2 linked regions of the Arabidopsis thaliana genome follow. The protein of the gene in region 2 interacts with the protein of the main gene of each other region in a pairwise test. Each region holds a gene or a part of one and is shown on either strand. Other genes may lie near its edges.

The links.
Region 1: the proteins of UBA1A (region 2) and AT1G03457 interact in binary tests that used the Arabidopsis thaliana proteins (3 or more experiments, as listed by UniProt).

What each region holds. Positions count from the first base shown.
Region 1 is NC_003070.9:862,259-866,014, forward strand, and holds the start of AT1G03457 (RNA-binding (RRM/RBD/RNP motifs) family protein), read right to left. Parts: upstream 2,115-3,756; 5' UTR 1,762-2,114; coding exon 1,602-1,761; intron 1,355-1,601; exon of another isoform or gene 1,284-1,354; coding exon 1,201-1,283; intron 547-1,200; coding exon 495-546; intron 383-494; coding exon 230-382; intron 136-229; coding exon 56-135; intron 1-55. UniProt on the Arabidopsis thaliana protein: RNA-binding protein involved in the regulation of flowering time. Acts as a repressor of the activity of SOC1, a transcriptional activator of flowering time.
Region 2 is NC_003071.7:9,388,591-9,392,346, forward strand, and holds UBA1A (RNA-binding (RRM/RBD/RNP motifs) family protein), read right to left. Parts: upstream 1,917-3,756; 5' UTR 1,861-1,916; coding exon 817-1,860; 3' UTR 460-816; downstream 1-459. Other genes in the region: AT2G22088 (uncharacterized protein), read left to right, coding at 212-459. UniProt on the Arabidopsis thaliana protein: Acts as a component of a complex regulating the turnover of mRNAs in the nucleus. Binds with high affinity to RNA molecules that contain U-rich sequences in 3'-UTRs. May function in complex with UBP1 and contribute to the stabilization of mRNAs in the nucleus.

The DNA of each region.
Region 1 (3,756 bases), on a different chromosome or scaffold from region 2:
AGTCTTTATAAAATAACAAGAATGTTCGAGAGAAGTATATGTAATAAGCACATACCTCCATTATATGTCTTCCGTTGAGGGCTTCCATAGCTGCGACCGCTTGTTCTTTAGACTCGTACTTTAGAAACAGACAGCCTAAAATAATCCAAATGAACCAAATAATTAAAGTCAGTCAGAACTCTGGTATAGAGTGCTTGCTATAGATGCATAAGCAAGTGGAGATACATACCTTTGCTAGTTTGTAGAGACCCTCTTAGAATCTGTAGATCCTTAATGGTTCCGTATTCAGAGAATAAGGACTGGACTTCAGTTTCAGAGACATTCTTTGGAAGCATACCGACGAAAAGTTTGTGCTCTGGATTGCACGAACAGTCAAGAACATCTATCAAATTGATTGGTATCAAAAATTAAAAAATGCGACCAAACTCTGGAAAGAAAGAAAAAAAGAACTCTTTTGGTGCTTAGACTTCATCACTCAGAAGCATTTTGCGTACCTAGTCTTTCCAACTCGCCATCTGCATACTTAACTTGCAACGGACTAGATGCCTGAAACATATCATAAGAAAGTGAATTCTATAATTCGAGAGAGGGATAAGAGTGTACATAGCCCATAAGCATCCTAATGTTCAGATACCGGCCACAGAAAAATCGAAAGAAGCAAGGATATATATATACACCAAATTTTTGTTAAAGATCGCTCAACAAAAAGTCAACACAATGAAGCAAAAGTTTTCTCTTGGTATTTGGGTTCCTATAATCTCATTCCTAGAGATGTTCTAGCTTTTTGCATCTTGCACGTTTTAGTGACCACTGACATACATCTATAGTGGACCAATGTGGTTTCTTGGGTTTGAAGAAATCAGCTAGAGAGGATTTGAAACGAACTAGTATCATCAGATTACAATAACTGATAGGGCAGATTCTGATCAGCCAAATCAGATTCATGATTTCACCTCGATGGATATATGATATATATAACCAAGCAACAACATGCAAAATTAACAGGGACAATAATCAAGTACAATGCAGATCGAGACGGATAAAAAGAAGAAAAATCAATCTGAGATTTTAATCAGTAGCTTGAAAAAATGTCACCTTAAGTAGTTTTGATGTACACAGAAACATCAGATTCAAATATCAGAAAATCCCAGAAAATTAAGCAAAACAGCTTCAAGAATGGTAACAAGAAAGAAGACTTACCCCAGGCAATGTCTTCTTGTTATGAAAACTATTGATCACCTTGTCAGCATCTTCCCTTGTAGGACATGTCAGAAAACAACATCCTACAATTCCACAAGAAATTAGGGTTTTCACAATTCAAAAATAAAATAAAAGCAACGAAGAAATCACGCGCAATAAAAAAGAACAAAAAAAAAAAAAAACAGGGGAACTTCCAAATTAAAGAAAGAAAAAAACAGAGTTCAAATTAAACGAATGAAACGGAGAAAATTAGGGTTTTCAGAATCCAAAATCAGACGAATCGAAAAACCATCTACAAGTATCCTCGAAACAGAGAAAAACTTCTAAGAAAAAAAACAAAAAGATATCAAAAGTAACGTTCTTTGGGAGAAAACAGAGGAATTTTTTTATTAAAAAAAAACCTCGAGGAGCTCGTGTTGTCTTCTCTTTAATGATGTTGACTTCATTGACGATGGAGAATTCTCGAAACAATGTGAGGAGCTGAATCTCCGTCATGTGCTTCGGAACTTGTCCGACGAACAGCTTCACCCTCTCTTCGTTCTCCATCGTCTCCTCCGCCATTATTTCTTTCTCTCGACTTCGTCGTCTTCTTCTTCTTCTTCTTCTTCTTCTCTCTCTACAGGCTTTTTCTTCCTGAATATTTATTTATTTACTTTCTTTTTTTTGGAAAAAATAATAATAATAAGAAAAAAAAATGAGAGAACTACTAACTAATGGGTGACAAAGTGGTTAAATTAAAATACGGACTAAATCTGGGCTCGTCGTTATTACTAAATTTACGATATTGCCATTAAAACAGCTGTTCAATTAAACAAGAAGGCGAGCCTGTGGGATGCCAGGGGAACACTTTCGGATTGTTTTGTCTGATTATGGATGTGTTGTCATGCCGAATTTACCATTTTATCCGCGTTTTTGTTTTAATATGGAGTGTGTGAATAAGCTGACTATTTTTTTTGTTATGTTTAAATTAAATAGCTGTCATTTCTTCAGTCTTCTGCATTAAAACTCAAAATGTTAGTTTATGTTTAGTTTTTTTTTGGATTTTTATTGTCGTTTGGTTTAAAGAAAAGTGAGTATTTTGTTTATGTTGGATATCGTTTGTTAAAGTTAGTCTACCTTTATTCTAATATTTTTTTTTATCAATTCCTCCTTATAATGGATATGATCATCTGACGTTAAAGTAGTGATAGATATATGTCCTAATATTTTTATCACTAAAATTTTTATATATTTAATTCTTTATTAATAATAAAAAGTGTAGGTTTGTTTAAAGGTCCAAATCAAACATACACAGTTACAAACACAAAAAGAAAAACCTTTTTTTTCTTTTGAGCAGTTGAAATTTGAGTATTTGACAATACACATGGACACGGCTATAAATTTCCATATTAATTATTTTATATAATATATATATTTTAGCTTTAGACAATAATATATTACACCATTGAAAAGAGGGTTTGGACATTTCAATCTAGCCAAACCAACTCCAAATGCAAACTGTCATTTTTAACTTAAATTGAATATAAACATTTTTATCGTTTTCGCACCATACAACTAAATTAAAATCAATCCAATCCTATTTGTAACAAGTGATGAAGTGAATAATAATATGTGTTATATTAATGTAACATATTATTTATTTTTGGAACGGAGAATCCAATGACCAATTCTAGATTTGTAAAAAAAAAAATTAAAAGTAAGTAAATCGAGAAATAGTTATAGAAATAAATACGACTATACTAGTTGACCGTAGAATTTATATCCATACACGAGAGGTCATTTTCATTTTTCAGTGACAACGAGTAGAGGACACTGAAATAAGGGTAGAGTGTCGTAAATATAAGGAAATACTAGTGGCAAAAACATAAATATGACAGACTGTCCTTGCCATTCGGAAATAAATAACCACATCAGCTCCGATTCTTACATCAAATTTCACAAAGAAGGCCGCTGACTTTATTTAGTTTACGTTTTGACCCCACTTGTTTTCTGGTTTTTGTGCATGTTTGTGTGAATTAGTCATTGATAAACGATAATAGTGTAGTAGTAATTAAGAAGAAAAAACCACTCGGCCGCTTAATTTAGCATGAAAACGTATTAAAAGAATCTCCACTGTTACTCTGTGAGTAAATGATAATATTTCTATTGCATTTCATGAAAGAAGTCAATGAAAAAGTTTGACATATCAATCAAGTATTCATTAGTCTACTAAAATATGTATACGTTGTTAGATTAATCTATATCCAATCTGTAGATAGTAGATAACGTGCTTATGTAAAAACAAAGTTAGATTCTACATCTCACCAGTCTCTGGCATTTCAAATTTGCAGATCTTTGGGAAATTTACTTATCCTCATAGTGAGACCCAAAAGTCTTCAGACTTATGATCATATAAAAGAATATCATTCGACAAAACCACAATCATATAGAAGAACATTATGAAAATCTAAAATAATGGTCAAACCTTTTAAACAACAACTTCTTATCACCATTTATTACACACATAAAGTAAAAGAAAACAAACTTACAGATATTAAAGAACAAAACAATTGATTT
Region 2 (3,756 bases):
AGAAAACAAAACAAAACATAACTCTATCAAAAGCTGAAGACAAAAAGAAAAACATATGGAAACAAGAGCAATGCTCTATCTTTCTGGTAAGATAACCCCGAAAAGTGAAAACAATAGAAATCAAAGGGACAAACATAAAAAAAATGTTAAAACTCAAACTTAAGTCTAAAACCATGAGTGCAACAGCATGAACAGATGCTATAGTTTACAGTCCGTTTAAAGACGTTAGCACCAAAACCAGATGAGTGGAGAGATGGTGGACGTTCAGTTTATAAAACCCAGTGCAACACTAAAACAAAAAAAGCCAAGAGACAAAAAGAATGTAACAATATTCGTCCCCACCATCACCAACCTATAGAGAAACTAACTTCGATAAAACAAATGGCACTTGAGAAAACTGTAAAACCAGGGACAGTAAAGAAAAGAAAACAAAACATAAACCAACAAAAGGAAAAATAATGGAGAAAACAAAAAAAACAAAAGTATGGTGGGTCACATTGCATCTACTTGAAATAGAGTCGAAGCAAGATTCATGAATAATGAATTACGGCAACCGATGACAATGCTAACCTACCTCTAGAACATAATTTAGGTATTTAATTCCTGTAGCAGTTCCTCCTAGGAATATACATATTTAGGCATTTAAGCCAACTATTTGACTAGAGAGGCATAATAATGTCAGATAAAATTCCGGTACTACCACAAAAGCCTTAATCCATTTATCTACACATGACGGAGCTACAATGAATTTATGCTTATCCAAAGACATTCAAACCACAATATTAGCACAAACATTGCTACAAAACACCAAAGGTTTCAGTGAACGTACCATGAATAGTTTGAGTAGCCATGAAAGGAGGAGCCACCAGCATCCGAATCTTTACCCGTCCCTCTTTTTCCACCAGCATCCGAATCAGGATAAGTACTAGGCAGACTCTGACCTCTAAAGTAAGAACCTAGAGCTGAAAGACCAGCAGCACCAACGCTTGGATCAACACCAATCCCACCCATTTGACTAGACTGTACCATATCAGAACCCAACCCGCCATGTGCTAGAGCACCCGCTAACATCGGATACATGTAACCTCCCCCAGCTGCTGCTGCTGCTGCTAAAGCTGGATTTCCCAACATCCCAGCTCCATAAAGCGGATGGTATTGGTTCCCTAACATAAACGGCGAAGCAGCCATTCCACCACCGTTAAACACATGTTGACCTTGTACCTGCTGTTGCTGAGGCTGTCCATGATTAGCCATCGAACCCATACTAATCTTCACCGGACCAGGTTGATCATGCCCCTTTCCTGAAGCCGCAGGACCCATAGAAGCAAGCTGGCAAGTGGCAGTTCTATTAAGAATCCTCTTCTTCGGTTCTTTAAGAGCTTCTTTAGCTCCTTTCCTAGTCTTGAACATAACAAATCCAAACCCTTTAGCCTTACCAGTAGCCTTATCTATAACAACGGTACACTCTTCAATCTCACCATAACCTTCAAAGACTCCAACAAGAGTCTCGCGAGTCGTCTCCCATGGAAGACCATAAACGAAGATTTTCCTGTGTGTAACATCACGATCTGCGGCTTCTACGACGGCGGAATAGATCGAAGATCCGATTCGAGAAGCGGAACAAACTAGATCGACAAGCTGGTCCTTGGAATAAGGTTGTAGAAGCTCACGGAGCTCTTCTGGGTCGAATTCGTTGTCTGATTCGGAATCGCTAGAATCAGAGCTGGAGCTTGAACTTGAATATGGCGTTGAGGATTCTGGTTGTTGTTGTTGTTTGTTAATCTTCTGTTTCTTATCGAAATTCGTGGATTTGGATTTCACGAGTTTGCGCTTCTTAGATTTGTCTAGGGTTTTCGCCATTGTAGTAGAGGATAAACGAGTCAAGAAGCTTTTAGGGATTTTGATTTTTGATTTTTGATTTCAGTTTCCTGTTTCCCCTCGGGTCAAGAGTTCGATTTACTTTATCCTCGAGATGTCGTTTTTCCGATTTTTTCAGTTTAATTTTTTTTTTATTCGAGTATTTTGCTTTGAATATATTTTCAAATATTTAGATTATTTTTGGATTGGTTTATTTTGAATATTTTTATTATTTTACATATTTTTAAATATTTGCTTTATATTTAAGATAAGGCCTTAGATCTTTGTAGAGGTTACATGGCAAGATGCTGGCTTTAAGTTATGATGGCTATACATCAACCGGAATACCATAAGCTCCCTAACTTTACGGGGTGTGAACTTTGTGGTACTTTTCTTTTAGAGCGCCGTCAGAAAAGATTCCTGGCTAGGCAGAGGTTTTAGCCATATTGGTGGTGTCGCTCTGCTACTTGTTTATTCATTCACCAGTTGAAACTTTTTTTTCTTTCTTTTTTATCTTTATGTGTTATGAGAAACTAAAAAAATAGTCACCGAGATCTTAGAGAGGGTTTTGTTTTTGTTCTTAAGATTTTCAGAGTTTCCCCATTGGAAAGAAAAACAAAGCCCTCATAAGATCATGATCACAAAACAACGAAATCAAATGACCAAAACCAAACCAAAGTTGATTTAGCTGAAGCATACTATAGATTAATACGAGTTGATTCATATGGATGGATGGATAGCTGCAGAGAAGACCAAAAACCGAGAAACAAGATTGATCCTCTTAAGAAATCGAAAAACTGAAAACAAGATTGATCCTCTTAAGAAAACAAGCATTCGCATCATCGGTCACTGTGAGGTCATTGTGAAAATCCAAAGAAAAAAAAAAAAAAAACAAGTATGCTTTGCTACCATAACCAGAGTTATATAGAATATGAATAACGAGCAGGTAAAAAAAAGGTAAATCCAGAACAAAGCTATGTAAGGTGAAAAACAAATTGGGTCCAAGTACCGATGACCAAAAACAATCTTGAACTTAGGCAAGAAAACTTGGCAACTGATATCAAAATGGACTCTTAAATACAAAAGAGAAAGGGGCGACACTACCATAAAAGAGGAATGTGATGAAAGAGATTGAGAAGCTTATAAAAACCTATGGGGAAGAAAACAATGCTTGAAGGAAAGAAAACTCAGGTTGTTTATTCCAGAGAAAATCAACTTGAAGCTTTTGAAAGAGTCCCAAAACTTTTTCCAGTACTCAAAAAGACAGATTTAAAACAAGAATGTAAAACCATTATGTCTGATCCTACAAACGGGTCTCAAGACAACTGCAGCTGGAAGATACAGACTTTTGGCAGTTATGACATATAGTGGACAAAACTATAAATGTCATAAGCTTCTTCTCCAGCTATAGCGAACAGATATTCAATGAAAATGCGGGAAAACATAAAACCAAAAACAAGGAAAAACAAAAGAGAAAAACATACGCCATGCCACAGAAGAAAACCAGACGTGAGTTTGATGGGTAAGGAGAAGACAGAAGACCATAATGGGGGACTCCAAAAGGGAAAACAAAGAGATAGCAAACTACTTTAAACCAATATTGATCCTAGTAACTAAATCTTCTAGACAAAATGACCACATTTCACTGGTTTATGAGAACAGAGCAGAACACCAATGACAGACTTCCAGAGAGCAACAGAAAATTCATCCTTTGAGCACACATCTCCCTCAAAATGGCTCATATAGGGGTAGATACCTCGTTAAAAGAGACTATAAATAATGAAACTAAAAAAGTAGGTTTGAAACATCAGGCATAGAAAATAAAGATCCGCAAAAAAAACTCCTGCAATTCCCAAAATATCAAGTTGGAGTCGAAGATACCGGACTAATCATTAGCCT